Drosophila melanogaster: one gene and its partners. The protein of the gene in region 4 interacts with the protein of the main gene of each other region in a pairwise test. Each region holds a gene or a part of one and is shown on either strand. Other genes may lie near its edges.

What was found.
Region 1: the proteins of zormin (region 4) and CG4617 interact in a two-hybrid assay, tested with the Drosophila melanogaster proteins (one large-scale study listed by BioGRID).
Region 2: the proteins of zormin (region 4) and Mlc2 interact in a two-hybrid assay, tested with the Drosophila melanogaster proteins (one large-scale study listed by BioGRID).
Region 3: the proteins of zormin (region 4) and Hsp60A interact in a two-hybrid assay, tested with the Drosophila melanogaster proteins (one large-scale study listed by BioGRID).

Annotation. Positions count from the first base shown.
Region 1 is NC_004354.4:7,100,658-7,107,553, reverse strand, and holds CG4617 (uncharacterized protein), read left to right. Parts: upstream 1-3,062; 5' UTR 3,063-3,159; coding exon 3,160-3,193; intron 3,194-3,249; coding exon 3,250-3,762; intron 3,763-3,824; coding exon 3,825-4,534; 3' UTR 4,535-4,719; exon of another isoform or gene 4,720-4,844; 3' UTR 4,845-4,999; downstream 5,000-6,896. Other genes in the region: fz4 (frizzled 4), read left to right, coding at 1-173; CG8300 (uncharacterized protein), read right to left, coding at 1,440-1,760, 2,162-2,398.
Region 2 is NT_033777.3:30,169,169-30,177,511, forward strand, and holds Mlc2 (myosin light chain 2), read right to left. Parts: upstream 5,384-8,343; 5' UTR 5,319-5,383; coding exon 5,316-5,318; intron 4,647-5,315; coding exon 4,404-4,646; intron 4,245-4,403; coding exon 3,822-4,244; 3' UTR 2,270-3,821; downstream 1-2,269. Other genes in the region: Rsod (uncharacterized protein), read right to left, coding at 1-538, 602-1,514, 1,830-1,899; CG1983 (uncharacterized protein), read right to left, coding at 7,349-7,417, 7,475-7,716, 7,776-7,923, 8,009-8,221, 8,286-8,343.
Region 3 is NC_004354.4:11,104,725-11,113,732, reverse strand, and holds Hsp60A (heat shock protein 60A), read right to left. Parts: upstream 5,252-9,008; 5' UTR 5,100-5,251; intron 3,931-5,099; exon of another isoform or gene 3,808-3,930; intron 3,693-3,807; coding exon 2,322-3,692; intron 2,259-2,321; coding exon 1,908-2,258; 3' UTR 1,425-1,907; downstream 1-1,424. Other genes in the region: CG11122 (uncharacterized protein), read left to right, coding at 1-882; CG42249 (uncharacterized protein), read right to left, coding at 5,655-5,754, 5,813-6,164, 6,227-6,326, 6,385-6,542, 8,956-9,008. UniProt on the Drosophila melanogaster protein: Prevents misfolding and promotes the refolding and proper assembly of unfolded polypeptides generated under stress conditions.
Region 4 is NT_037436.4:2,146,948-2,154,483, forward strand, and holds the start of zormin (zormin), read right to left. Parts: upstream 4,754-7,536; 5' UTR 4,663-4,753; intron 3,335-4,662; 5' UTR 3,143-3,334; coding exon 2,798-3,142; intron 1-2,797. Other genes in the region: CG15822 (uncharacterized protein), read right to left, coding at 6,858-7,460, 7,532-7,536.

The DNA of each region.
Region 1 (6,896 bases), on a different chromosome or scaffold from region 4:
ATCACCAGCAGCAGCAGCATCATCAGTTCCATCCCCACCACAATCACCAGCATCACTCCACATCCTCGCATCGGCTGTATTATCCGCCAGGTAGCTATGCCTCGCAAAAGTACAGCCAGCACGGCAGCTACTATCCCCACTTGCAGCAGTATGGCAATGAGACGCTACTCTAGACGGAATTGGATTAGGTACCATTTCAGGGCAGGAAATGCTTCCTGCTTCCAGTCAATGTTCCTGCAGCAGCTGCTGTGCCAAAGTCAATCCTCTACTATAACTTAATGCGGTTTCGGGTATCGAAAGAGGCAAAGCAACTTAAATGGGTGGGGAAACGGTCCAATTTGTTTGTCATAAAACGATCGTGAGATAACGATATCGTTATTTCGATTTTAGTTGCTTTGCCTGTCCATAGAACACAATGGGGTAAACCGATCTATGTACTGTGTATATAACCCCGGAAATGTGCTCTTAGTGCTTTAGTTTGGGCCTTTATCGCGAGGTCATAGGTCATCTACAATGTATTTGTAATTGCCCTAGATGGGCTTCATATCCTATTTTCCTGTGTGTACTTAATGTTGCTCCTAATTAGTTGCCCCTTGCGTTGCCTTTTTACCATTTTGGTGTAACCAAATTCAATAATCGCTCTTGCCTTTTAGACATTAGGACTTAATGTGTGTCGCCTTTGCGTACATAACACATATATACATATATATATTTAGCATTTTTATATAAATTCTTTTTTTTTGAGTTAGAGAGAGAGAGAAACGCGCAGCAACCAAATACTGTGATACGCATGTTCATGTCTTCAAAAACAAAAAAATAAAAATGGGAACCAGAAACTAGGTTTCCAACTTTGCTGTCTTCTCCCGATGCCGAAACAAGTGTACTTAACAATCGAAAAAAAAAAACGCAATTGCAATCGTAGCCGTAATGCCTAATTGTATTCAGTGTGCCATTAGCTTTAGGGACTTAACTGAAACGAGTCAATATCATGAAATTACCTTAAAAGAGTCCTTTTCCAGCAACGAACTTTGGCGGAATTACTGAGGGTTTTCCTTCAACTTCTGCTGATTTTCGCACAGAAAAAGTCCTACTTCTAAATGTCCAACTAACTAGCTAAGAAACTAACTAACCTTTATACAATTGCGGGCTAATACGAATCGTATGGAGCCCGCGACTAACAGTATATGTATTGTATTGTATTGTATTTTATATGTGTATTTTTTTTATTATCATATATGTATATGTATAACTTATTTGCTAGCGAATAAAGTGTCGAAAAGTTAATATCTGTTTTGATTCATTTCGTTTCGCATGGTTTTTACCAAGTAAAAGAGTCTCCAAGTGTCGCCAGTACTCCATGAGCATTTTGTTTCGCCTTCCTGCCAAGAAAATCGCCACCTTGCACAACCCACCTGGCAAGTGGGTGGCCCAGTGGGCGCCTACTGCCGTGTGGGTGGCAAGGTCGCCTCGCTGCGTGTTGGTTCGCATAGGACGATGGTTTCGTTGCGATTGTTGTTGCCGCTGCTGTTGTTGTTGCTGCTACTGGTCGTGGTCGACATGGCCCGCGGGTGCCAATTGTCAAGGTCCTCGTCGCCGTGCTCCTTGGCCCTGTGGTAGTTCTCCAATTCGCTGGCATACTTGCTGCTGGTGATACCAAGCAGGTGGGCCAGCCCACCGCCCACATAGTCGATGCCGGCCAGGAATCGGTTGCCCATCCTGCTGGCCTTGTAACGCAGGCGTGGTCCCAGCGGCATTTCGCTCTAAAAGGTGGCAAAAAAAAAAAAAGCGGGCTAAATGAGTCACGCTAAATGGTCAATGAGGAGGGGGGCGGGGGGTGGCAGCTGCTTATCTTTTTCGTGGCCCTGGGCCCTGTTTGTTTACTTAAACAGCTCAAAACACACATTTTCATTGAAAGATATAAAATTTCTCACATTATTATCATAATTCGCTTCGAACATTAGTCACGTCTCGAGCTCAAAGTGAAAAGTTATTATCTGGATCAGGAGAACTGGGCTAATCTTGAGCAAATTTAACTAACTGTGTTAATCCGGACAATCCCGCTTTAAAAAAGGTAAACAAGCAATGCAGCTACATGACCATGTACTAAATGGATGGCCGGAAGTGCATTACTCCACCCATAATCCTTGCTGAATGTATGTACCTCGTTTAAATGGACGTCGTAGCATTTGTCGCCCATTTCCGCATCCGCCTCGTCCTCGCTGCCCGAGGACAACTCCTCCATGACGCCGTCGCTAAAGTACAGCATGCGCTTGTTGGACTGCAGTTCAAGGGCGCTCACATTGTCCGTCTCGGATGCACTTGCTCCACTCGCAGATGCCAGTTCCAATCCTCCAGCTGCACTGCGTACTTCGCCACTCTTGTTCCTCTCCGCTGACATGGCTATGGATAGCTCTAAACCCGATTAAGTACCGCCTCGATTGATTGACGCTGCGCGAATGTTTTTGCTTGCGCTTGAGCTTCGTTTGAATCGCAGCCGCCGTTTTGGTCATGAAAAAAGCGGACGCGGGTCAACGCCAAATGCGTATACGGCCGGCTGGGGGCCAAAATGTCCTTGGGTTGGGGGCCACCGGCGAAACGACTCACAAACGGCGAGAATCGCGTGCCATGGGGCGCTTGGCGCAGTTAGGTGCAAAGCAAATCGATAAACTAAAAGCCGCTTTCAAACAGCAAAAAAAAAAGTCGAAACAAAACAAAGGTGCGGCAGTGTGACCAGCTGATGGTTTTTGCAAGCTAACTGGATATTAATTTAGATGTATTGTAATAAAAATGAAATTGCAGTCGTATATATCGTAAATGTTTTTGTTTATAAAAATAATTAATAATATAATAAAAAAATTAAGTTGTGCGTGCACATCCTGTGCTTATAATTTAAATAATATAACAATAAAAAATATTATATTATTAAATAATTAAGTTTAATGGTTTCCTACTCTGTACAATTGACTGGTGCAATGGTTATTAACTTAGCAATATATTCAAAAACTAAAATGGTTATCTAGTGTTCCATATTTAACCATCGCTTGCAATGCATCGCGTTTTAAAGCTCTGGTCACACCAAACAGCTGTTTTGTTTGCTTCGTTTAATTCGTTCTTTTTGCAACAAATTGCATCCCAATCTTCCAAAGCAGGTATCCAAACATGGAGTCCCCAACCTCGCACCTGGTGGCCAAGGGTGAGTGGAAAAAGCGGCAGCCGTCAATGGAATCGGGGTCATAAATTCCCAATTAGATTTCCAGGTGACGGGTGTTTCGCGCAGCGGACGCGTACGCAAAAAATCGTCGAAATTGTTGGATTTTGAATCTCCGGATGAGATCGAGAAGCGCACAAGGCGTCACAGTGGCGCCAGACAGCCAGCCAGATATTCGGGCCGCGGCAGGCCATCGAATGCGCTGCGTGATCTGGATCTTGACCAGGAGATGCTCGTGGATGATGGCATTATCTCGGATAGCGAGGAATTCCATCCGGATACAACGGCAACGGTCGTGGCCATTCTGAATTCCGACGATGAACTGGACAATCTGGTGCAGGATATCGTCGATGGTGTCCAGGCGGAGGCCACCAGCCAAGAGTCATCCGTCCGTCAGAGTCTTTACATGCGCGAGAAGTCCAACAAGCGGCAGGTGCTCAAGGACGGCAAGGTGGTGAGTGCCAAGGTGCAGCGCAAGGACAAGGGCAAGCAGCGCTACACCGCCTACAGTCTGTGGGCCAAGGAGGCGCGACAGAAGGATCTCCAGGATCTAGGTAGGTTGCTACACATCTGTGCGCTCTCTATCGCTTATTGACCATTCCCCGCACGCTTGCAGACTTCACCAGCGCGACCAGACGCCTCAGCGAGCTGTGGGCGAACGTTTCCAATCGGGACAAGAACACCTGGCGGCGCAAGGCCAAAATCGAGGCGTCCAGGGCCAAAACTCGCGACAAAACCGCTGCAAACGGTGCAACCCAGCCGGCGAGCAACGGCAGCACGGCTCTGGCAGATGCCACGCAGCACGAGACGATCTTTCAGAACCGTGCGACAACAAGTCGCACTCGAAAACTGGCCGCCGATCGGCAGCAATCCTCAATAGAAGCGGCTGCCGCAGCGGCGGCAGCAGCAGCGACTGGCACCAACACACAGCGGCGCAGCATCAGCACACGAAGTGCCAGGTCGCAGGTCTCGAAGAGCGCGACGAAACAAGCGCAAGTGCACACGGATGCGGACGTCAGCGGCCGGACTGGGGGTCAGCTGAAGCAGGAGGAGGTGCAAAAGACCAGCATCGAAGTGATCGATGCGGCCGCACATCTGAAGCTGCTCGGCGAGAGCCTGACTGTGATTGGCGAGCGACTGAAGAAGCACAATGGATACGTGGCGCTATCGGGCAGCTTGTCCGTGCTCCTCGACAGCCTGCTCTGCGCCATGGGACCGCTGCTCTGCATGACCACGCAAATACCCGGCATGGAGAACAATGTGCAGTTGAGCAAAAATCTGGCCGACACGCTCGACAACATCGCCTACGTAATGCCCGGACTATGAAGTAAATTCCGGATTGCAACTGCAAATGCATACATATATATATATATATAATCATACCAGGCCGCTGCGCTTCCAGCGGCGACTAGAGTCGCCATCGGGATCTGTATGTTTGTAAGGAGTTGGCCAACCTGGAAATAGTTAATCGCATTAGATATGCCTAGTTGATAAACTGAAGCATCTAGATCGTAAGTAAAAGGTCTCCCTCTAATTGAGTTTTTTTTTTATTTGCTTCTTGAATTGAAATTCGTACGCTAAAAAGTTTAGTAGTTCACTTATTTATTTCCACTTTTTGTTTTTTGCAACATTTAAGCACAAATCATCGAAACATTGGTAGAATTAGGCAACATTAAATATCCTATAATCCTTAAGTGAAATAAATGTGAATCACAAGATTCTTATTTCAGCTTCAAATTAAGCAGGCACTTTTTATAATAAACGTAATAAATAAAGATAAATATAAAAGCTAAAAATATGAGATGATTTCTTCCTCTGCCCAAAAATCTTTATAAAAGTGAAATATTTTTAAAAATGATCTCAAATAAGCCATAATTGAAGGTTCGAATAGTGGAACTATAAGCTAGATATAAACTTTAAATATTTATAAATACGTTAATTATTTGCTTACTTTCTAGAGATGGCACTTCGCTGGTGCGCCATCGATGACTTGGCTTGCCGTTACAACGGCGAGCTATCGATGTTACATCGCCGCCCTGCCCACCACTAGCCAGTCCGCGGAAAGTAAATAAGAAGACGGACGCCAAATCGAATCTTCCCACATCCCCGGATGCAGTGCAGCAAGCTCTGGGTCCCTGAGAATCCTGCGTGGGCCTGGGATTCCGAATCCTCTTCCGCCCCGGATCCGCACGTCAGCGCGGCATCCGCATCCGCCACCGCTTCCGCCCACGCACAGCATCCGCAGCCACATCCGCGGCAGCAAAAAAACGGTGAGTTTTCCACCTGCATTTTTTTTTGGATTTTCCGGGGGGGGGGGGGGCAGCAGCTGTGATTGGGATGGAAAATACTTGTGTAGGTGGACGGTCAGGTTGTAGGGGCGAATTGCGTGACGGCAGCGCTACAAATTGGATTAGTGCGGCGATTGATTCTGAATGGGAGATGTAAACAATCTTCCTGTGCACTGAGAAAAATAACATGGTAAAGCAAGGCACAAAAAAAGATGGAAAGATTGGTTGAATAAGATAAAATAGGTTTAAGACTAAGCTGAAATATCATTAGCCAAAAAACATGAATGTGAAATGAATTACTTTAAAGGATTCTTAAGCACAATTTGTTTAGAAAATAAATTCGATTCAGTAACTGTTAAATTCAAAGCTTAAAAAGAAATGGAATACCTTGCGATTTGCAGTCCAGACATTTTCTCGCAGTGCACTAGCTCCCCGCCCGCTGTTTTGTAATTGGCAATATAAGGAATGCCCGAGGTATCTATTTTTATACCGCTTAGCATAGTCGTTATGGTGATAAATTCCGAAGGGGGGGTGGGGGGTTTGTTCGTTATGCTTTTCAACCCCGTGACCTCCCACCGCGCCCAATGGGGCATACTTTTGGGGGCGCCGGGAACTGGGAGGTGTTTTAATTCCACCATCGTTGGTTTATTGAAAAGTTGTCATAACTCAGAACAGACAAGCCAGCAAAGTTTCGAGTCCTCTCAATTGCGGGCAAATACAGGCAGATCTTAAAACTATAATGTTTCATTAAATTCACGCCGTCATTGAATCGAATATCGTGTTTTCCCGTTGGTAACTATCTAGATATATGAACTAATTTAAAAGGAAAACTCAAGGTTTTTATGTAAAACGAACGCGTGGTTTTTCTAGCAGCTCATTTTCATTTCAATTGAACTTTAAGATGAGCTTAAAACTCGCCTTTCGCATTTCAAATACCAAATAATTGGTAAACATTGCCATTTACACAATCAATCATATTATAACTTCTTCGGGTAATGAGAATGAAAACCTTTTCTTTTGGATTGAAAGTGCAATCGGATTCCGAGAGACGCCATAATCATAATAGTGCGCCCGCGGATGGGCATATGTTCATTTGTACATACATACATCTCATCCGAATCGGACTTTGAGCCATGTTCTCGACACGCGAGATAAGCGGCCGGCAATCAGAGAACTGGTTTCAATTGCGGATCGGGTCAAAATCGCCCAACCTTGGGCCATTGTATGCAAGTTGTCTGTGCGAAACTCAATGAGCATAAATTAGTCTCAATGCAGGAATGCCTCAAGTGTCCGGCCGCTCGTCCATTTCCATTGTCCAACCATTATTGCAGCTGGCCAAGCGCTGGCTTATCACTCGAGGCGAGGCCCAAAAGGCGAAGATAGAGACGAATGATAATCAA
Region 2 (8,343 bases), on a different chromosome or scaffold from region 4:
GTTCTGCTGGTAGATTCCATTTCGTTGATATTGACTTAGGCTCGAACAGCCCCAAATCATCTTCGTAATATTTGTGACATTAGATCGATTGAAAGTGTATATGACCAGACTTCTTTGGGCAATGCTATAACGTCCTTGAAGGGGCAGAAATACGTCCCAGTAGAGGCCATTCAACTCGGAGCTCGTTCCTGGTAAGACATACTGATGCCAATAACCTTTATTGCGACCCTGTAGCTTCCCGGAGAGATCGCCCACGGGATACTGCTCCTGGGTTCCATAACCGGGTGGGGGTATATTCTCGTTTATCTCCCGGGGATTATGCATGTCCCCAGTGGTCAGGCAGTAGTCCTCGTGACCCATCCTCGAAGGCACCGGCGGCAGACTGTGAATCCGAAAGGCGGCCACATCTTCGGCGAACTTGCGACTGACATGCTGGGAAAGCGGTGCTCCCAAGGTGAAATTGAGGAAAGTTGGGTCGAACTTGGAGCGCTGCATGAAGGTAACCTCTCCCTTGACACCACCAGAGTTGATGAAAGTTCTGCGGTTAACAAAAAAAAAATGGTTATACTTTCAAATAGAATGGGTTGTAAAAACCACTCACTTATGTGTCAAAGGTTGGACATGGCGAATCTTGGTGCACGCGAGGTACGAATCTGGATGTTGGTTGTCAAAAAGAACCAGGTAAAGAGTTCTATGGGGAATGGTAAGATCCGAGGGCAGCAGGGCCAACTGAGCATCCCTAAAAACGCTGCGTTGTGGCGAACGAAGGGCATTCTTGGCCACTCCAATCCTGCCTAGGCGTGCGTCCAGATCACCTATTCCCTTGCCAGCTCCACTTCCTTGGGGATCGAAAACTTGCTGCAGGAAGTTGCAGTTGTCCTCCGTGCGATGGTGGTCATGTTTGAAAATGTCCGTCACATAGATCTTCCAGTGGTGCTGGGTGAACGGTCCAGCTTGACTTCTATCTTCCTCCAGAGCAGCTGGTTGCGCCCTAATATGGTAAAGATCCGAGTAGATTAGAGTATCTCCAACAGCTCCCTCCGCCGGGGCCAGCCAGCGGAAATGGACAGATCCAGCGACAGGAGTATTAAAACGAGCCTCTGCCATGTGCTCCACGGAACTCTGGATGGTGGTGATGGTGGCACAGATCCGTGCATTAGCGTTGACCTCTGTCAGAACCAGGGACTTCCCCCAGATTCCCCGATCCCCAATCAACTGCATGTTTCGCTCCCAGCTGGAGGTCTCATTTCCGGGCAGTACCAGGTACTCCAAGTCCTCGTCAAAGGACAGGACCTGGGAGCCCAAACGACTCAGTTCGCAGCGTTCGTCTGGGTCAATATTGGAGTAGTCCACGGGGAAGCGACGTACTCCCCAACTCCATACTTGGTCGGGGTACTGCAAAGTGGCCTCCAGGTTGGCCTTGATCTCCACCGTGGTGGCATTCATTTGCCGAAAAGTGATCTCTCCATGAAGACCTCTTTGCGAGATATAAGCGATCAGATGCTGTGCATCAGCTGAGAGGCACAAAAACGATAGTGAGAGTGGAGTGTTCATTAGTAAGGTGAGATATCTCATAGGCGCAGAGAGAGAAATATGAATGAATAATATAATTATATGCATAAAATATAGTGTTGGAAATAAAAGGTTAGTTTACTTTCGAAGCAAAGTATACAGCATAGGATAAGGGCTTAGTTCGCCCCAAATGTATATCACTTTTCTTGCAGTGCACTCGAGAGTGTGGTGAGATATTCCAGACTCAAACTGAGATACTTTCGATTTCTTTGGCCACGCAATATCTGCATACAATGCAATCGATTCCCAGCACTCACCTCCACTCATTAGTGATGCAATCCAGCAGATGGAAGCCATCCACAAAAGCTGTCGTCCACCTGGAGCCATGGTTCTGGTTCTACTTACGCCCTGAGTAACCAGATTATTCGAAAAGCGCTGTTCGGAATGGATGTGGCAATGACAAGCGTGGCTGACTTTCACATCGTAGTGCGCATGCGTGCGCCTCGAAACTCGACTGACAACTGGTCGCTCGAAGGTTCGTGTTCGGTTTTGGCCATCGTCTTGGCCAAGTGTGGGGAGTTTCCCACTGCGCTCCACAGCTTCGTTCAGCTCCCCAGCTTTATCGGTGGTTTTGTTTTGACCTGGAACTGGTTTCCGGCACGGCTCAGCTGAGTCAGATATGCAGTAAGGTACTACATACCCCCAAAAAACCCCTTCCCTGAGCAAATCAAACTTCAATGGCTTTGTGTTTTTTTTTCAAGACGACTCTCTTTTGCTTTATTCCAAGACTTCGTCATCGTATCATCATCTAGTTATGTTGTATAAAAACAGTTACTTGTTTTCTATTTTTAGATGTTTTTTGTTTTACTCTTGTTAATATTCCTGACCGGGTTAAAAGTTTTCTGAATTTTTTCATCTTGCCGTGTGTAGCTTAAAATATACTGAAGTAAAGATTCGATTTGCATTTAACAACTTGTTGCATGTTGCACTTTGAAATGGATTGCAGTGTGCGTGTGAGTGTGGTGTGTGCTCGTGTCGAGTGTCAAGTGTTGAGTTCTGAGTAATAGTAGTATTAGATAAATAAGGCAATATATTGTGCTTCCTCCGATCAGCCTAGGTACTAGTGGTTATGGGCACCTTATTCAAACTAAAACCCCCCCGACCGTCTATTTCCCGGGGAGGCGTATCATCCTGGAAGCTTCAAAACGCATTAACTAGAAACACTGGGTTTGTTATTTGAATGTTTCTTCATATTTCAGATATCATTTTGGGTTGTTTGTTCGTTTGGGTGGTTTATATCGCTGATAGTTCATAAGCAGAAAGTTGTGGTGGTGGCGATGGTTAAGTTATATAAATTCGCATTAAACAATTTGAGTGAATGAACTTAATGTTTCTCTGTTATTAGCCTAACTCTCGATAACTTGCAATAATATTGATAACTCATAACTGATAAATAAGTAAGTAACGAACGATAGATATGTATAACGATAAATATTTTGTGATAGTAGGATATATATTTGGCTCTCAGTTAAATGATCCCTAACAATAGTTTGTTATGGGTTTACCTCTCTCTCTCCTGGTCCTGCGAGATTTCTTGAACGAAAAACATTGTAACTCACAAAACTGGCTAAAATTCATATTCATAATCAAATTGAACTCGCGGGTGCAGGGCTAACGAATACAGCCCGGCTACCCATCAACATCGTCTTCGTCCTCCCTACATCATAAATCATACATCATACATCCTCATTTCGATTCCGATCTCGATCTCGATCTGGTAATCATCTCTCTCTGGGGGTTCTTCTCTTTAGTTCTTCAACGGACAGCGATATAAAAATAGACACGGCTTGTTTGTTGTTTTTAAGTTTTTTTTGTTGATTTTATAGGTGTTTTAAATAAAATAGATAGCATATGTTTTATAAATTTTACGTGTAAAATTTAACAGTAAATCAACTAGAAAACTACGCGTCAGTTCTTGCCGTGACAGTGAACGTGATCGTAAGTATCCCTAACTATGATGGACAGATACATGGTAAATGGTTCTGATCGCTACCAAATGTTGCTGAAGAAGTTCTTTTGAGGTTCAGTTTGATCGGATGTTGCTGATCTGGTTGGTGGTGTTGTTCTTGGTACAAGGTACTTGGTGATGGTTAACAAAAGAGATTACAAGATACTGAGAATCTACATATGTAAACGAGCGTTTCTTTTAATTACGTTTATTATTACTGATTTGACTGATTGATTTAACGTTCTGATTCTGGCTGTAAAATGGATGTTGAGTTAGAAGTTAGGATGTGATCGGATGTGCCTTAGGCGGCCTCCTCCTCCTCCTCTTCACCCTTGCCGGTGAGCATCTCGATCAGGGCGGCGGTATCGATCTGGTTCTTGTCGTCGATCACCATCTGATCGTAGGCATCATCAACCTCCTTCATGGTGAACTTGTCACCGAAGTTCATGAGCATTTCGCGGAATTTGTCACCGTCGATGAGACCATCGTTATCGAATGTTTTGAAGGCAGCAATAACAACTTCGTCTTCATCGTTGGCACCGGAGGTGGCCATGCGGTTGGCGAACAGGGTCAGCAACTGGGTGAAGTTGATCGGACCCGAGGCCTCGCCCAGCATGGCGTCCAACTCCTTGTCGTTGGCGATCTTGCCGACGGAGTCGAAGGCAGCGCGCAGATCGTTCTTGCCAATAATACCGTCCTTGTCGGCATCCATGAGTTGGAAGGCCTATCGATCCCGCACAGAGACAGAGAGAGATAGAAAGAAAGAGTGTGTTGGTGACTTGGTCCTTGACAAGTGCGATAGATGGTAGGATGACAGGATGATGGGATGGGTCTCGAGTGATCCGACATATGATGCGATATATGAGTAACGCCCAAAACTCACCTCCTTGAACTCGGCGATCTGCTTCTGGGAGAACACAGAGAAGACCGAGGAGCCAGCGCGCTTCGACTTCCTGGAGCCACGGGATCCGCCCGACGCTCTCTTCGAACCAGTGGCAGATGCGGCCGGGGCAGGAGTGGCAGCTGGTGCCGGGGTTGCTGCCTCGGATGCGGCCTCAGAAGCGGTTTCGGAAGTACCACCCTCTTCCTTGGTCTTCTTCTTCTTAACCTTCTTCTTCTCATCGGCCTGAGGAGAGAAAAGAGGGATTTATTAGTAGGGACTCGTGGCAGAAAGGGGGTATCTACTCGGTCATTAGTCGTTATAGTCCGTCTTTAGCTGTCACTTGAAAGTTCCGATTCCGGAAGTTATACTATTCGTTTTAGGGATCTTAGTAAGTTATCCGCGTTGAAGGATCTTCAATTGGAATTATATGGGTAGAAAGTTATCCCTTAATAGGGATTTAAGGGATGTAAGGTATGCTTTTCAAAAGGCCTACCCGACTAGGCCAGAAAATATGTATCTGCAGGCGAAAGTTTTCCACTCATTCTAAAAATATACCGGACGCATATTACGTAAGCTCTCCGCCGTGCGCCACTCGCTGTCTCGCTCGCTCCCCGGCACGGATATCAGATTACATTACTGACGCGTAACACTCGGATCGGATCGATCCATTTATAGAACTTTCTGCACTATTCTCACTGCGTATGTGAAGAAGGTGAATCGGGATCACCATGATTTAGAGTTATGGTTCACTTCATATTCATATCCTCGGGGTCATTCTCGAATGCAAACGATTCACTGCACTGATCGGCATTATCCTTGCTGCATATATCCAGGCACTGGGGTCCAGTTCGATTCGGTTCGGTTCAGTTCGGTTCAGTTGGATTGTAGTGATATTCCGGGACGAGTCCTTACCATGGTGCTGAACTTTGATGTGTTGTCTAATCGAGTCGAGCCGTCAGAGCACACTGAATCTCTGGCTGATTTTATCGCCAAGACAATGATGTTTTAAGAGCTCGGAGGAGCTCTTCTTCTTCCAAGCATTGGGGCCGCTCGTGGAGGTTCGGCCACCTTCGGGGATCTTCGGGCGCCATTCGCTGTATCCGTATCTGCAATATTCGTGCTGCCTTTTTTAGTATCTGCAAGGCGAGGTCCGCCCAGGAGATCGGCGGGGGCGGGCAGCTACAACTATATAGATATAGCCATGGCTATAGCCTATAGCCTATGGTGTAGCTGTATCCGAGGTGTTTACTCATCCATCGGGCGCTGCTCTAATCAAAAATCTAATTTTAAAGGCAGAGAAATTGCTTTGGCTTTGGCTTTTGGGCAGCAGAAGCCTATACATATGTTCGGAATTTATTTCGGGGCGATTCGGATTGGTTCATATAGCGGCTCTCTGTTGTGGATACATTTCCCCATCCTCGGATTCTGTTTTGTTTTCTTTTATTTTGCTCTGCTTCACTACTCGGTGCGTCTCTCTGCCAGAGGCCACCTCCGAAAGGTGTCCTCTTGCGCTGAAATCACCTACATTTTCCTTGGCGGCGGACAGCATACATATATGCCAACATATAGCATATGTATGTATTCTATTCACGCCTATATACTCGATGTTTTGCTCGCCTACGTTCCTTTTTCTGTTTTCGAAATGCCCCGCACATTGTGCAATATGAAGAGCGCCGAGAATTCCAAATCTATAGATCTGTATATACATACACGGCGATCGGGCGGATTTCGTGTCGCATAAATATCCAACGAACCCGATATTGGACCAGAGTTATTTCGGCAACAAATGTGGAATAAACATCTGACTTTATCTATATGCTAGTCATCCATGGACATTGCATAACAATGGGAAGGCTGTAGGATTTCCATTTCAGATAAACTTTGGGTACCACGTCATGATACATTAACCTTGTTACTAAAAATATTAAACACTGCAGTATTCAAGCTATTTAAGCCATTTCAGTAAATAAATAGTAAAATTGTGACAACTTCAATCGACAAATTGGATTCTCAAAGCCTTATTTACACATTTTTAGTTTTCCAAATAAGCAGGAAATTTCAATTTAGTTTCAAGTGTTACAAAATATTATTATTCATATAGTTTACATCTATTTTTTTTAGAAATATTCATTCTGCAAATTATTCGACTTTTTGCTTTCTGAAGGAAATAAGCCAAAACATTTTTCAAAACAATATTTACATGAGGTCATCTTTGCCACCTGAATTCATTACCCTCGCTGGCTAATATTATAATTAATGAAGGCTCTATGCAAATTTATGAAACGGAAAATATCTCAATTAACGATGGGATCCGTGCGAGAAAGCCTTCATAATTCATCGATCAGACATAATGAAAATCGATTTAGGCTGCAGTCATCTTCGTGCTCCATTGAAAGTGATTTTCGGCGAAAACTCTCATGGCGCAGCCATTTTGGCACGTAACCAGGCGACATTTTGGCCTGGGGCCAACCAAAACAAGAAGATATAGAGGAAAACTGCCCACAATCTAATACGCAAAGTAGCATTGAATATACGCGAATGTAAAAATAGAACAAAGTGCAAAAAACGAGCAAGACGCAGTCGAAGGAATGTTAAAACTAATGAAAACTGCGGCAAATGTATTCAATTTTCCAAGGTGCAGAATGTTTCTGGGAATATTAATGGTTTTGACACTTTGGAAGCATTGTTTATAAAGGGTTAACAATTAAATAAGGCAAATAACAGCCTACACATAACATTTGTTTATCTCAAGGGTTTCTAAATTTAAACGCCAAATCATCTTTGATTTGCTGATTTACTACGTTAGTCTGTGTGAATATACCCAGTTCCACCTGATACATGAGCGAACTTGGAGGTGCTCAGTCGTGAGGTCGGACGTCATTGGGAATCGGCTGTATTCAGTGCCCGCAACGCATTCCTATCACATCTCTGCTCCGCTCCCCTTCTTACACCTTGGCCGCCCGATGGCCGAAAATAGAAGAGCCAACGCGCACCACTGTGCTGCCCATTTCGATCTGAGGGAATAGTTTCGATTTTAGAGACGGAACTTGCTCAGTCGGTTTGTAGCTTACCGCCTTGTCGAAGTCGTTGGACATTCCCATGGAGACGAGCACCGAGTCCGGGGCCAAGGAGTGCGCCTCACATATGGATCTGTGCACCTGCATTAGGGACACGAAATCCGGATTGGGTCCATTGCTGTAGTCAAAACCAAATGCACCAATGGTCATTATGCCCATCAGGTTGAGGTGTTTAAGGTTGCTCTTGATGTACTGGTAGAGTGCAGGAGCATCTTTCGCCTCTATTCCGCTTTTAACTAGAGGTCGATTTAGGAAAGTAAGTATAAGGTCGCTAGTTTGGGGGCGTGAGACTCACCGTCTTCACCACTAGTGTTGATCTGGATGAGCACCTGCAATGGCTCCTCAGGGGTGGGCTGTCGCTTAGACCAGGCTGCGTCCAGTTTGGTGGCCAACTTCTCGCTATCTACGGTCTGGATCATATGCAGATTTGGCACAGAAAGGATCTAAATAAACAATGAGATCAATAAGATAAAGAGAGGTGCTGATAAGAGATAAACGCTGTTATCCGATCTTGGTTATCCAATTGACCTTGTTGATCTTGTTGCTTTGCATGTGGCCTATGAAGTGCCACCTGATGTCGGGGCACTTGGCCAGAATGTCCGGGTGGCGGCTCTTCTCCTCCAGCTCCTGTACATAGTTCTCACCGAAGTCTCTTTGTCCGCCCTCGTAAGCCTCGATTACGGCCTCCGCTGGCTTTGTTTTGCTTACAGCAACGAGCAGCGGCCTGGCAGCTTGAACTTCCTGTGCGAGAGATAAAGTTTTTCATTTAAGAGGTCATTAATAAGTGGGTCTTAAGTTAACTTACTTTGGGCCGCTGGAGGAGCACCTCGTCTATGCGCTTCAACACGTGCTGCAGGCCGGCT
Region 3 (9,008 bases), on a different chromosome or scaffold from region 4:
CCAGCACATGTGCCTCCTGTTGTCCAGGCACCGCCAGCGCCTGCGCCAGAAGTGCTAACTCCGCCTGCAAGGGGAAAGTCCAAAGCAGCGGCCAAGAGCAAAACTCCAGTGACCAAGGCGACAAACAATCGCAAAAAGCGATTTAATGAGAAGTCAAGGGTGCAGGAAAGTAGGGAGGATGAGGAGGAGGAGGAGGAGCAGGAGCAGGCGGAGGTGGAAGTTGAACCACCAGACAGGACGCGCAGCTCCAGGCAGCAGCCTAAGGTGAAGGCCAATGAAACGGAGAAGGAACCAATAGCGCCAACACCACCGCCACCAGCACAACCACCACTGCCCGCAGCTGCACCGGAAGCGCAAAGAGAGAGGAGCAAGGTGCGGCAGCACGGCAATCAGCAGCAGACACTGCCGCCTGCACCGCATCCGCGGAGTAGCTCTGTCGCCACCCCCAGCAGCACCACCAATAACAACAACAACAGCAGCAGCAGCAATAAGAATCTGAAGGCCAAGCGAAAATCGCAGACCAGCCGCCAGTCGCCGGCGCGCAGAAAGCGGCCAGCCAGCGAGAAGCAGCTGTACTACTGGAGCAGCTCCAGCGACGATGAGTTCGGACGCCTGGACGACGAGACGGAGGCCGCTGACGGTGAATCCCGCGGCGCTGGAGCTGGCAGCGAGCAGCGGGATGGCGAACGAACGGAACTGGAGCCGGAGGAGGCGTCACCGTCGCCGGGTAAACACTTCGAGGAGAACGAGACGTACCAGAAGCACGGCTGGATCGTGGGCGATTCGCACAAGAAGCTCGTGAAGCTGCTGGCCATCGCCAAGGGCAGCAAAAAGGTGGACAACTGCGGTGTCAAGCGGCGCACGCCAAAGCGCAAGTGCTAGGAGTGGGTGGAGCAGCGTCACCAGACGTAGCAACAGCTGGCGTAGGAGCACAGCACAGTCTCCTCCCGCCAGACAAGTCATAGCCATAGGCCTCGAGGGGCGGAGTCGGCGCGGGCAGCCGACGACCCATCGCCGCCATCGATCACATACGTACTGCCATTGTGTCATCGTTAATCGTTAACGCCGGCGCCAGGAGGGGATCAGGATCAGGATCAGGATCTGGTTCGGGATCGGGATCAGCTGGAGTAGGAGCGGCAGCGGGAGCACCCACTTGGCAGAGGCCACCTCCTGGCCCCGCACCCATTAACCGTATGCGGAGTATATGCAACATATTTTTCTTTCTTTTAAACATCTAAGCGTTACATTATTTAGGTTTTTTTTATTAAATGTATTTATAATTAATAAACAAAAGAAACAAAAAAGCGAAAGAGCAACAAATATAAATTTGAGCACAACAATTCAAAGCGGACGACCGATCTTCTCATTTGGGATGCCAGTAACCCAGTAGCGAACCGCCAGAGATACAAGCCGTCCAGGTTTTTCCTCAATTTAACTTCGGATTTATTTAATATATTTTACAACTAGCGGTATCTTTACATATATAACATGTAAAAAAAAATAGAGTTAAGGAATAGTTAAAAAAACGTGGAGCACAATGGAGGCGACGGCGTGTGGCGGAGCGAACGCTGCAGTCTCGACGAGCTCACACCCAGCCGGTTGTGTTGGATTTGTGTGCTGATGTTGCGCTGCTCTTGCCAAAGGATAAATGCGAAGCAAAACAAAGTTCCATCAAGGATTAGAATGCGTGTCAAATGGTGGGTGATGTGTCTCCGGCTGGATGCACCGATGTAAGAGATATTGGTGGGTCTCGCTCCGACTGCTGATGACTGATAACTGATGAGCTGCTTTCGCCGCCGACCACGCGACGTCATCGTTCCACATCGTGACTTAAACAGTATGCTGGTTTCGGTTCTCATCACATCTCCCTCCCCCTCTCCGGCTGTCGACCAGTCAGTGGCAGTCGCTTACATCATGCCACCCATGCCGCCCATGCCTCCCATGCCGCCCATACCACCCATGCCGGGCATGGCAGGAGCGCCATCCTCCTTGGGGATCTCGGTGACGACAGCCTCGGCGGTGGTCAGCAGTGAGGCCACACCGGAGGCGTCTGTGATGGCGGTGCGCACCACCTTGGTGGGATCGATGATGCCCTTCTCGATCAGGTTGCCGTATTCGCCCTTCAGCGCATCGTAGCCGTAGTCACCGGCCTGATTCTCCACCTTGGCCACCACCATGGCGCCATCAACGCCGGCGTTCTTGGCAATCGTCATGCATGGCATGCGCAGGGCACGACGCACAATCTCCACGCCGAGTTTCTGTTATGAGATTTCATAGACATTAATACACGAATAACAGAAAAGAGAGATAGATAATCGTACCTGATCCTCGTTGGTGGTCTCGACACCCTCGAGCTTCTCAATGCAACGCAGCAGAGCGGTGCCGCCTCCGGGAACGATTCCCTCTTCGACGGCAGCACGGGTGGCGTTCAGGGCATCATGGACGCGATCCTTCTTCTCGTTGACCTCCACCTCGCTGGAGCCGCCAACGCGCAGCAGGGCAACGCCGGAGGCCAAGCGGGCCAGACGCTCCTGCAGCTTCTCCTTCTCGTACTCGGAGGTGGTGTCCTCGATCTGGTCCTTGATCTGATTGGCGCGACGGAGCACATCGTCCTTCTTGCCCTTGCCCTTCAGCAGCAGGGTGTCGTCCTTGGTGATCACCACCTCGCCGACCTGGCCCAAATCGCTAACCTTGACGTCCTCCAGCTTGACGAGATCAGCATCATCGCCGAAGACAATGCCGCCGGAGGCGATGGCCATATCGGTGAGGGTGCTCTTGCGGTTGTCGCCGAAGCCGGGTGCCTTGACGGCAGCCACCTGAAGGCCGATCTTGAGGCGGTTCACCACCAGGGTGCTCAGGGCCTCACCATCGATATCCTCGGCAATGATGACCAGCGGCTTGCGCTGCGCATTGGCCAGCTCCAGAGCGGGAATGATGCTCTGCACCGATGAGATCTTCTTCTCGGACAGCAGGAGGAGGGCATCTTGGAACTCCACCTTGGCGCCCTTCGAGGAGTTGATGAAGTACGGCGAGATGTAGCCGCGATCGAACTTCATGCCCTCGATAACCTCCAACTCATCGGTGAGGGTCTTGCCATCCTTGACGGTGATAACGCCATCGCGTCCCACCTTCTTCATGGCCTCGCTGATGAGATTGCCGATGGCCTGATCACCGTTGGCCGAGATGGTGGCCACCTGGGCGATCTCCTCGGGCGTGCTAACGGGGCGCGACATGGTCTTAAGGTTGTCCTTGACGGTCTCAACGGCCAGCATGACACCGCGACGAATCTCGACGGGATTGGCGCCCTTGGAGATCTTCTCGAAGCCCTCCTTGGCAATGGCGCGAGCCAGAACGGTGGCCGTGGTGGTGCCATCACCGGCCTCCTCGTTGGTATTGTTGGCCACATCCTGGACCAGCTTGGCACCGATGTTCTGGAACTTGTCCTTCAGCTCAATGGACTTGGCCACAGTGACGCCGTCCTTGGTGATTTTGGGCGAGCCCCACGACTGCTCAATGATCACATTGCGACCCTTGGGGCCCATGGTCACTGCCACAGCATCGGCCAGCACATCGACGCCCTGGAGCATCATGGCGCGCACCTCGGGTCCGAAACGCACATCCTTGGCATAGCCGCGCATGGCCAACTGGCGGCTAATGGAGGAGCGAGCAAGCGAAACTGGCAAACGGAACATCTGTGGAAGAGCAGAGAGGATTGGTATGATGAGAACTGGCTGGTAGCAAGAGATGAATCAAAGCACGTGTTCCGCCTTGGGCAGAACTAAGATGCGGTTTCTTTGAGTTGTTTACCCCGGAGTTTCTTAGTTGATAAGCTTCCAGCGGGTCAAAGGTCAAAAATCTTCGTTCTTGAATGTGAAATTGGGAATACAACGCGTGAGCACTGTTTAACACACGCAGTTCGCTTGACTTTTCCGATAATCAGAGCTGTAAACTTCTCAGATTACTGACAGCAAAAGCCAATGGAATGTTATTTACACGGATACTTATGGAAATTACATAAACGCACAATGCTCCAAAAATTGGGAATTTTCAAAGAGTTATAAAAAAAATAATATACATTTTTTTAATAAAGCTCAATGCAAAAAACTCATTATCAACATAATCATTGAGCTAATTTATGGCATATAACACGTGGATTAGATAAATACAGATGTACATACATCTAGTTTCGGTTTATAAAAATTACAATTTTCGAAAATTACATAAACTAATTAATATCTCTGTGAGAATTGCATAAGCAGAAAGAATGTTTTTTTTTTAGGTTGTTATTAATGTGAATACAATAAAATAAAATATAAGACGAATTTAAACAGTAATCACCTATTGTTTCTATCTAATTTAATGATGAAATAGTTCTAAAAACACAGGCAACATGAGATATTTACATGGATTCTGCTCATCCTTATAAACATCATTATTTTGAATTGAAAAATTAAACCAAATCAATGAGTTTAGGTATTACTGATAGTATTATGTAAACTAATTCGTTGCAGCAGCGAGGCTCCACTGTACCGGCCAGGCCCCCTCATTCCAGTGCCCACCCCCACCCCCCGGGGAACGAACAACATCTTGGCACCGAGCATTCCAGAAGAAACGATTTATGTAACCAGCACTTGGGCAAAAGACTAATATGTAGCTCCCAAAATGGGAGGGAATGTTATTCAATGAATCAAAGATTTCCGCAAACGAGAGTGGAAAGAAAGAAAGGAAGCAGGGCAAGCAGTAGCAGCACATGCAATGCCGTCTGATAAATGTGAAATTGCCGGCAAGCAGTGGAAAACATGTGCAACTGAGTTTCCACCAGCTTTCCAATGTGCGCGCCCGTATGCGTGTTTGTGTGTTTTGAGGTGGATTTAATAAATTCTTGTTGGAATGTAATCATTTACTGCACAATGCAGACATCGTTTACTTTTCCAGTTATCAATGAACAGAACATTCTGGAAACACGATTTGCCGGCTATCGGCCAGATTGTTCGCTCTTATATAATCGCCAATGGGACACACACACTTGCACACAAACTTGAAATGCAATTGGGCAAATGGGAATGGCTCTGGAAATTGTTTAAAAGTTTAGAACTTACTGTGAATTAAACTGGTACTGCGAATTATTGACAAGACAGTTAAGCGAACGCTTCCGATTCTATTTGATGTGAAACAACAAGCCCACTTCACCACAGTTTACTCGCTTCGAAATGTGCGCACAGGCGGTCCGAACTTCCTAACCTTAATGTGTATCGGTGTGACCATTCGTTGGCCATCGAAAATAGCCGGCGCTTATCGATTGCTTGCGTCGGGCAATCGAATATTATCGGCAGCCATATGGGGGACTCGCATTCAAGTAATATTTATAATAAATTGAGCTTTCGCCGATAAATAAGTTTTCTGGTTTCCATAGAAAAGAAAACAATTTAATATATTAATGTATTAACAGCAAATATGCAAATCCAACGCAACTATTAATAATCCAATTATATAATAATGAATAACTATCGCAGCAAGCTTTATACGTTATGCTAGAGATGTTAGATGCGGAAAGCGATAGTTTCGCGCCTAAGTTTTTTTTTTTCAAAATGAAACCATACATATGTATATTTTATTATATAGGTTTACTACATTTTTCGACCATACTATAAAGTCTAAGTAGTTACAAACTGAATCCTTTGCTCGATTGCAGTCGTAATTGGCCCGGTGGAGTTCATGTAGTCCATTAAGGCGTCCAAGTCGAAAGGACCAAACCTGGCAAAAAAAGCTTTTTAATACTTTATTCAAAATCAACATTGTTTAACATGCTTACTCTGGATCTTCTGCATTTTCGCTGATTACGCTAAATCCGTTCTTCCCATTCGCCAGGTACTCCATGACGACCACGCGGTACTTGTGCTCCAAATCGAGTGGAATATACCTGGGCACCAGGCACTTGGAGCATCTTACTCGCACACTGAATACTCGCTGATCGGCGTTCAAATCGTAACGGATACGGAGACCGGAAACCTGGAGGAATCGGGAGGAACGCGGCGTGGCCGAACTGGCATTCATGGGCGCCACCACATGCTCCAGCAGCTCCACAATGTGCTTACCACGCAGACTGAGGGTCACCAGTCTATTCTGCCATGGGCACATGGCAAACAATTGCTTGTAGGTGATGTCTGTAGTGATATACTTAGTCTTATTGTTCGATTAAGGTATACATGTTGTTTTCAGGACTCACTGCCAGCTGGAATAGGCACTCGAAAAGTTCCCGTTGATGTCAAGGCAATGGTCACGTTACTCCAACTCTCTTCAGACGACGATGAAGCATCCTTGACAAACTGAAGATTCTCATTGGACTAGGTCAGTTGCAAGTGGGTTGAAGCCACCACTACTTACCGCATGAAGCATAGCATCGGTGAAGAAGTTACCCAGATTGCATTCCCCACTGCTGCACTGACTCTGCTGGAGATTCACGCGACTCTGGCCCACTGTCCGCTCGGCAATGGGTTTCATCTCGAGTTGCCAAGGCACCATGGCTTGTAGAACGATATCATCTTTGGGAGATTTTAAATGGTATATGATTATATTATGCAACCATTGCCTCCAAACATATTCCCCAGCATCAATAATCTTCCAGAGAAAAGATATGTTTGTGTACTTTCCCTGATAAATTTATTGTGGAAAATGCAATTATTGCACATTATGGATATAATACATATGTATGTATAATCAGTTGAGCACTGTGATGCGTCCCTCGAGGCCCTGGTAAATGGGATTGATGTGATTGCTGTACGAGATTAGGGCATCCAAGTCCGTGACTCCCCACCTGAAATCAGTAAATAATCAAATGGTATTACAACATGGGACACAAGATGAGCTGCCTGTATGTACGTACTGGAGGTCAGTGCCCTCGGCGAGCATGGTGTAGCCATCGCCACCAGCCTGCAGGAAGTTGGGCGATGTGAGGCGATAGAGCTTGTCGGATACCAGAGGCTCGTACTTGGGCACCTCGCAGTCCGCACAACGAATCGTTACGGATATGACACGCGATCCCACCGGCTTCGTGTAGTCGTACTTCGCCCGGATGCCCGAGAACTGCAGATTGATGTACGATCCGGTCACCCCGTTCTCGAGGTCCACTTTGCTCAGGGCCCACTCCATGGCCTCCACTATCTTGCTGCCCGGCAGATTGTAGGAAACCAGCGTGTTCTCGAAGGGCGACATGCTGACTATATGGGCGTACGTAAGATCTGAGGGATACATTCAATTGAAGATTTTTAGAGGAGTTTTTGCTATAACGCGGTCAAAAACGATCACACAACCAAGAGAATGACTTTTTTGTGCAGCCTATGATCCACATAAACGATCCCGAAATTCGTATATTTATTTCTGGAAAATTTTTTTTTTCGAATTTTCCGATTTTTATAATCTTAATTTTTTTGCGAAAAATGGACAAAAATTTACATTTTAAACTGTGAATGCCATTCGAAAGGGAATTTGGTGACGAGTTCAACGAAGTATGACATTCCGTATTTGGATTAATAACTTCATTGCTATGAACAAAAAAGGATTAGTTTTTGTTGCAAAATTGGGGATTCATTTAGCCGAAATTATGATTTTTTCGAAGAATTTAAAATCCTATAACTTGGCCAAAAATGGTCACACATTCAAAAAAATTACTGTTTTATAAAACTTATGATCCAAATAAACGATTCCTGTCAACGTTTTCATAATTAAAAAAAATTTTTTTTTTTTCGAATTTTCTGATTTTTTATAATCATAATTTTTTGCGAAAAATGGACAAAAAATTACATTTTAAACTGTGAATGCCATTCGAAAGGGAATTTTGTGACGAATTCAGCGAGGTATGACATTCCATATTTGGACAAATAACTCCATTGATATGGGTTAAAAACTAATCAATTTTGGCATACAATCGGCATTCTATTGTTTGAAGAATTTTGAAATTTTTTAAGAGCATTTCTACTGGAAATTGGCCGAAAATGATAACATAGCAAATATAATTTTTTGTGCAGTTTTTGTCTTAAATTACCCTTCGGTATACCTATATTTTTATTTATAATAATCAATTTTTTTGTTTTGTGTTTTCTGTTAACGTTTTTTCGAAAAAAGCAAGAGAAAACTTCAAATTTGAATGCTACTTGATTGGGAATTTAATAACGAGCTCAACGAGATGTTCCACTCATATTTGCATCATTTTGATCCAAATTATACTTAATACCAAATCTGCAAGTCGAATTTTCTATTAAATTCCAATACTTACTGCCTCTGTTGAGCGGCACACGGAGTCCTCCGATGTTCATGAGTCCGGCGGATACATTCGTCCAAACCTTCTCTTCATATGAAGCCATTCCGACGAACTGCAAGCGAAAAGATTGCATATACTTGATCCATAGAAGGTTTCCCCAACTTACAGAATGAACCATGGCGTCGCAAAAGAAGTTGCCCAAGTTGCACTCTCCGGCGGCACAATCGTCCTTGGTGAGATCCACCTTGGTGTTGCCGACCACCACCTTGCCCGTCTCGTCGATCACCTCCTTCCACGGCTGCATGGCCACCAGCACTTCCTCATCTACGGGGAGCACAATGCACAAAAACACATCAGATATACAATCCTTCTGCAATCGAGGACTTTCACATGGCACACGGCAAGCAAGAGCAACTGATTTTTCAGAGTGTAAAATTAACTAGTTGCACGAGGAACTTATAACTTATAGTTACACAGAAAACAAATCACTTGTAGTTCACACAAAATAACAAAATTAAGCACTAGTAAAAATCAAGCACTGAAATAATAACATAAAAACAAGCAAATAAGGAAATAATCGAGGGATTAGTTCTTATAGATAAACAACTTGGGAATTATAAGGCCGTTCGAGCAGTAGAGGTACAGTTACGAATTGATCTTAAGAAGCTAAGATACCCTACTGACTCAATCGTACTGACCTTCTGGCACGGATTGGTCCATGTAGAGCGGATCACCCTCGTAGTCCAGCACA
Region 4 (7,536 bases):
CATCAACAAACATTGTAATCGAAATTTGCGTCAGAGCCAAAACCGAATCATCATCCATTGAGATTGATGCCCGGATGGCCGAGAAGTTGAATCGTCTTGGTTAATTAGCTCTGGGTGGGGCTCGTCCAAGAAGTTGATAGGTTTCCTTGGTGGATATGTAAATCATGTCAGGGCGATTTTAATACAAGATGATTTGGGTTGCCCATGGAGATAAAGATCCAATTAAACGCTCTGCCGACAGACAACGTACTTCGTTGTATCTTCGTGGAACTTACCACATGTCTTAGACATTTCTTTCAACGGAATATCTTCAACTGTTTTTCACAGGCAAATAAATGTCATTTAAGTAGTCACCACAGAATCGCATTGTGCCACTAAAAACTTGGTAGATATTCATATTTTCTTCCAGCACTTAACATTCAAAATCTTAATAACTCAACTTTGTTGTGAGTTGTGGAGTATGGGTACACAGAAAGAAAAGTAAAGTTCTAAGGTCTCATAATTTTAAATTGGTAAAAATGAATATCCGCATTACAGATAGTATTGTTTAAAAATAGTAGCAAAACTATCCTTGCCAAGATTTAATACTTAAATACAATTTCTTGCCACTTGAAATTTCTTTCTGTTTAGAATAAACTAACTGAAAGAATTGTCTGTTGTCTGTTTCGAAAAATAAACCCAGAAAGGAAGGAAACTTTTGACATATTTGCATAGTTTTAAGCTACGAGCCGCGGGACGAAGGGGGTTCTGCCAACTTATTGTTTCCTTAATCTTATGCTGAAGCACAAAGTTTAAAGAACTTCCGCCGCCTTTCTTCCCCTAGAAAAAAATCTCCCACCGCCCACGTGGAATTTATAACAATAATAATAAGGAGCTGAGCTCATCGAACATTTTTTAGCTCATACATTTGTTTCATTTTGTGTGTGTTTGTTGCACATCTGTTGGCTTTTATTGTGGAATATTGTGTATTTATTTGTACACTTTTGTTATTCTTATTTCAGCTTTTTTTTTGGCTCTGTTCCGTTGCTAATTTGTTTACCTGCGAGAACCGGGGAGAGAAATCGCTCTTGTTTATTTTCAACAGCATTTTTGGGACCAGTTCGAGAATAACGAAAACAACGACAGGTAAGCAATTATTTAGTTTCGTTTTTGAATTTCAATACTGTTTCCAAGCAGGCCAGCGGAAATTTAAAGAAATCTGTATATTTTTGGGGTCGCGAGTTTTCAATTCATGGAAACACGAGTACACGTATACAACAGAAACGTGTTGAAAGGCTCGTCAGTAAAATGTTTTTGCATAATTTTCAGAATCAAAAGTGGAGGGGGGAAAAAGTTGTAAATCAAATCAAATGTTTAACACATGGAGCCGTGAGTCTCGAATGGCATATGAAGCAAAAATAGTTATTCTGATGGCCAGCAAAAAAAAAAAAAAAATGGCACAAAGTGGCACACCGAAATTTCAATGATCCGTTGGTTGAATGAACAGAAAAGGTGGTGCAAAAAGGGGCACAGTCCCCTTGCCCCTTGCCGCAAAAGCCCATAAACCATTCACCGATGCCCATAATTATTGAATGTTTTTTGTTTCGGGGCATAAAACTTGTAGCGCTTCATCAGAAATGTTTCTCAATCTCAAGTTCAAGTCGCATCTTCAAGTTCGAGCGATTTGGAGGGGTTGGAAAAGGGGGCAAATCTGCGGAGAAGACCCAAACAAAGTTTCTCTCTGAAGAAACTGATTCTGCCAGCTCGAAATGGACCCAGACAGGTAGCAGCTGCGCCTAATTGTCGAAAGTATCTGGCAGATACATTTCTTTTTGTCACGTTTAGTTGGCTTTTGTGTCTTTGCTCTGATGTCAGACAACCTTGAACCTTTTGTGGCGTTTGTTTTTCTGCTGCCGTTTTTCAAATATTTATAACCGCTATCAACAACTTTTGCTTTCGTTGTTCGAGTGCTAATTGGCGCGGAAATCGCTGGAAGCCGGTTTAAACAATCGAAAATTGTAAGCCAGTTTTGGGCATTAGAAGTTCATGAATTTTTCAGTGCTAAAGTCACATAGTTTTGCCTCAGATCCGAAGGGGCTAGCTATGGGATAATTATAGAAATTTATCAATTAATGTCGACCGATTGGTAGTGAACATTTGCTTGGTTGGAGGCTGGGCCATTTAATAATAGTCGAACGTTGTTTTATAGTGATAAATTGATTGAAAAATGATTTGATAACAATCTGAGATAATGTATCTATTGAACTATTTTCTTTGCTTTACATCTCTCAGACTGTTTTTGCCCCACTACGCAAAATGAAAAAAATGTAAATATATAATTGCACTGTCATTAATAATGAACAAAGATTATGTCGTCATTCAAATGATAAGCTCATTTATATTGAAAAAAAAGGTTAATATATTTAGACTGGCTTAATTGGTTGTTATGGATTTTTATAGCTTCACATAAAACTGAGTCGAATGCAACTTTTTTCATAAGATGTTTCAATGACCACAGCTTATCCTAGATGTTTCCCCGTGTTTTCGAAACCTGACTGCACTTCTAGATTTATGATTTATTCAAGATCTCCCAATGCCCCGTCCCAAATCTCTTTTGAAGTCCTCCCAGATCGCCTTCCGCATAAATTTCCGCGCACTTCAAGAGCTTTCTCCGAACACTTCTCCCGTATCTAGATAAATGTTTCTTCATGTTTGTTTCCCATTTCTTGGCCTTTTTGCTGTGTGTTTTTTGTTTGGATTCGTTTCGTTTTTTAGTTTACTATTTTTATTGTTTGCGGGGTACAAGAGTACAACTCACTTGTAGGAGCGCTATCACCAGCTGGATGGGTCCGCATCGGACGACAACGGTGCCAATGGTGGTGGCTCTCAGGGAGGAGGAGGATGGTGGTGTGGTGTGGGTGGTGCCGGTGCCGGTGCCCGTGCCCGTGGACATGGCTGTGGACATGGCCTGACTTGGAGTCGGCGACGATGATGACATTGTTGCTGAATAATTGAAGGCGTCTAGCTGGGACTGCTGAGATTGCTGGGATTGCTGCGTCTGAAGTTGGTGGCCGGTGTGCGGCTGGCGGGGATTGGGATTCGAGGAGGAGGCGACCGAGTAGAGCGAAGACATCGATGAGTCTAGGGCTTGGCGGCGTTCCATGGTTGCTTTTCTTTCTATCTGCTCGTCTCTACTTCTCTCTGTTTTCTTTTTTTTTGACTAACTTTCGAGGATTGAGTGAGTGCTTGTAGTTTGGTGTGTTTTGCGTGGGCGTTTTATAATCTCTGTCGTTTAGTTTTTCTCGTATTTTGGCTTACTTCCCCTGCTTGTGTCTCGTGTTTTGCATTTTGAACTCTGCTCGAAAAAGTGGAACTATTAGATTGAGTCACTCGCGTTCGGATTTAATTTATTGGGATTAGTTATAGCCAGGGGATTCGATTCGGCGGTTCCTTCGTTTCGTTGCGAGCGCTATCAACGCCGGCGATCGTCTGAGAACCTCCGCGAATCGGTAGATTTTCGAAACGGAGAATTCTTTTTGCCCGCCGCGATGACTATGACTTCATACTCGCGCTCTCCCTGTCGCTCTAGTGTCTGTTTATTATTCCGTAGTGTCTATATATACGGCTATATAGCCGAGAGAATCGTGTGTACTTTTTGCATATTGAGCCTGAGAAAATTGCCTTTGATGCGTGTGCTAGTCTCGTTGTAGAACCTCGGTAGCCCCCCGCCCCGCCAAAACTCAAAGACAATGCTCGATTCGCGTTTATTTTTAAAACAACAAACTATTGAGTAATTTTTTGCGGCGATTTCTGCCACGAAGCTAAACTGTTGTTCTAGCCCAGATACTCAGATACTGCGATGCTACAGATACAGGCTACTATAGCTAATAGATAAAGCGCGCGGATGTTCGTCAAATCTGTAACATGTGCCAATTGCATTGGCAGAAGTCGTCGCCAGTCAGTCATTTTTCATGGATTTTTCGATATTTTTGAATACATTACGCATACGCCGCGTATGCTCGTGTGCAGCCAGCTGCCTCCATTAGGTAATTTTTGGTGTTTCTCTCAATTTTTAATAGTCGCCGCCGTTGCTGGCGTAATGTAAACTATTTTAATTGTACTTTGCGCTGTCTAAAAATAAGCAGCAAACCAAAAATTGGGAAGAACAAGTTCCCTTTATAAAAGTTTACAGTAGCGCAATCGAGGAAATGCTTTGCCTCCATATGTTGTTGTCCAAAAAATTTAAAAGAAAAAAAAATGGAAAATTGTTGATTGAAATTTTCTGGGGCGTGGACTGTTGTAGTATATTGAAATATGCACATGACTCAAACAAATAAGCTTTCAATGCATCAGGTCACCGAATATTTTTGAAAAATATTTTTTTCGCGCATTCTGTGTCGTTTTCTATTTGTTAAACATTTTGTTTGTGCTTTCTGAGGGTCGTCACAAAACTGAATATTCGACAACAACAATAAATTTAGCACAGATTGTTGATTTCATCTTTAGACGAGTGAACGCAAAAAAAACTAGCGCCAAGCATTTTTGAATGTCAAAAATGTTCTAGGTAAATTATGGCTGATTAATTTACGTTTCATTTCGCTTTTTTTTTGAAGTGCCAAATTTATTGTTTTCTTCCTCGTTTTCTGCCTAACTTAATTTACATAGATATGTTTTTATTCGCACATTATATTCGAGCGGTGGAGATGTGGAAAATCAAAACGCGCGCGCCGCTTTCCCAACAGCCGAACAACCGAACGCCGCGAACTTCGAACAAGACTGACTAAATGATCGGAAGACTGAAGACCGGAGACCGAAGACTGAGCAGATTCTACGGGAGACAGCCGATCAGAAAGAGATAAAGAGCGTGCAGCCCATGAAACTTAACCGATTCGCTCAATTCATTCATGCAGGTAGCGGTTCTCTTGTTTTGATCTCTTGACACTGGCTAAGCTCAGTTTTGAAAAGCCGGCTTGTATTTTGAAAATGAGAGAGTGTGAAAGAGAGGGCTGGAGACGCTAGACGCTAGAGAAAGAGGCAAGATGCGGGGCTTCAGGGGAGACGACATAAATAAACAAGTGCTCTTGGCATTCGCGGCGTCGTTAATTCATGATTTCAATTTTTAATGCCCTGCGCCCGGCTTTTCAGCAATTACAATACGAAGAGAAGGTAAAGCGATATGAAGCGAGCTTGTACCCTGTAATTCTGATGATAAAGGGTAACTTTAAGCGAACTGTTGCTACCCTCTTATGCCCTCACTTTATTTATTCGCATTTACTTTTGAATATTCATCTAACTTAACATCTTATGTGTGGATGATTTTTCCCCTTGGCTAGACCTTTTCCTCGTTGGTCTTATACACCCCATATAAGACGAGGTACCTTAAACCACAACATATTCAAGTGCAGCTTTTGTACTTTAATAACATGGTGAAGAGTGGAAGATCAAAATAACAACACCAGAGCAGCGGAGGAAACCAGACGATATCGTGTCTTAATGCAAGGCAAACTGACTGACCGCCCGCATTTAAATCCCCTCACCACCCATGATGCTCTATACCCCAATTTATGAAGTATTTTTCACCCAAAATGCGTGTCTTGCAGCTTTGGCTTTGGCTCCGGATTTCGTGCAATATTCAACGTGCAACATCCGACGCTTCTTGCGTGCAACAGCAGTTGCGGCAATCAATGCGCTGCAGATGTGTGTTATTATTTTTCGCTATCAACGATTCGAACTTATCGAATTATGCTTTCAGCGCCGGCACGTCAGAAAATCTGGTCGAATGGCATGAAAAGAATCTCATAGATATTTGGTTCGCCTTTCTGGATGATCAGCTCGTTAAGTATAAACTCTTTTCACTCACTCACCACACTCAGAGCGATTTATTTATATGTTTTTTAATTGAGATTAATGAGCCACTTGACGAAGCTCACAAAAGCAGCCAACCCCTCTTAACCCCATTTCCCCGCTGCACCCACTGCCAGTTCACATTTCAGATAATTGAAATCACTTGAGGACCACTTGTTAAATGTTTGGGGGAAAGGGCCACCCACAGAGGGAAATTGAAAAAAATTATTTAGGGTGGAAAAGTCCAAAAGAGCACTCAAGGGTTAAGTGCAGATGATGGCAATGACTTTTCACGGATGCAGCCCAAAGTTATGCAATGTTTTCATGGATTTTCGAGATTACATTCAAATTTTGCAGTTACGAGTTACTTACTTGCTTAAGCATAAAATTTAAAACTAAATACCTGAAAAGTTAGGAGGTATTGAAAAAAATTATAAATGATTAGCTTTATTTTTGGGGTAAAACATGTTCGATATTAATTGCACTATGTTTTGTGACTGTGACTGTGTGGGAGAAATAGTTATAAATAAATATTAAACATATGATTAATGGCAAAAATTTCGACTGGCCGTAAGTGAATTTAAATTCTTACTTTAAATATATTTTCTAACCATTTGGGAATTCTCTAATTTTTGCAAGCCTTAGACTTAATTTGAACTAACTAAATAAATATTTCTACTACTATATTTAAAGCAGAGAAAGTATAAGCAAAAGACATTTTTCAAACATAAAATATTTAAAAACCTTTTGCGCAGGCATTTTAGTATATCTTTTAAGCTAAAGTTCAATCGAACTAATAAATTTTGGTAGAAAACAGTGAACAATCATGCAAAGTAAAATGGCAAACAAAATAAAAAAGACAAAAACTTTTAGCTCATGGGCTAAAATTGGTTTTGGGAAAACAGCAAAAATAGTATGCCAACTAATTAATGGCAAGAATGTCGAGGATCGGCAGAGAAGCAAATGGCGCTGGTTAATTGGGCGGGAAATCGTTTTGTGTTCATCTTTCAACTGGGACAGCTTGTCCAGATCTCTCAGAGAAATCCCTTGATCGTCTGTTTCGTTATGTTCTCGTAGTATTTGCTGCGTCGCCAAGAAGGCGGCGGTTTCGATTCGTTGGGGTTAGTTGAAGCCGGAGCGGTGTTATTGGCCGATGTGTAGCTCACCTCCGGCGTGTGGGCGTTGGACATCCTGGGCGCCAGCTCCGTCGTAATGCCAGTGGCCAAATTGAATCCTTCCACCTCGCTGTCCGATTCGATGGCCTGCGGCAATGGTAGTGGCAGAAGCAGGTGTTGCTGCTCCTCGTCCGGAGTGGGCGTTACACTCTGACTATGCAGCTCTGCCATGCCCGCCACACTGTCCTGATCTTCACTTTTCATCCTCTGCTGACGGTCGGAGAAGTAGCTCATTTCGGAGCTATCAAAGGACATATTGACTGGCGAAGGTGGTAGTTCGGGTATTTCGAATGTGCTTAAAGTTGAGTCGTCCGCCTCATCGAAGGAGTTCTTGGCCGATCCTATGTAGGAGCTAGTGCGTCCTGAGGCTGTTTGAAAGGATGAGGAATGCGAGTTCGGCGTAAAGTTGCCTTCGGAGGCAGTGGCGAAGGATTCGTCCTCGGTGGAGCGCGATTGCCAATCCTAAAGCGACGAGATTAGTACCATTTTACACAAACGGAAAAAGAATCAACATTTTTATTATTTAAACTTACCTCAA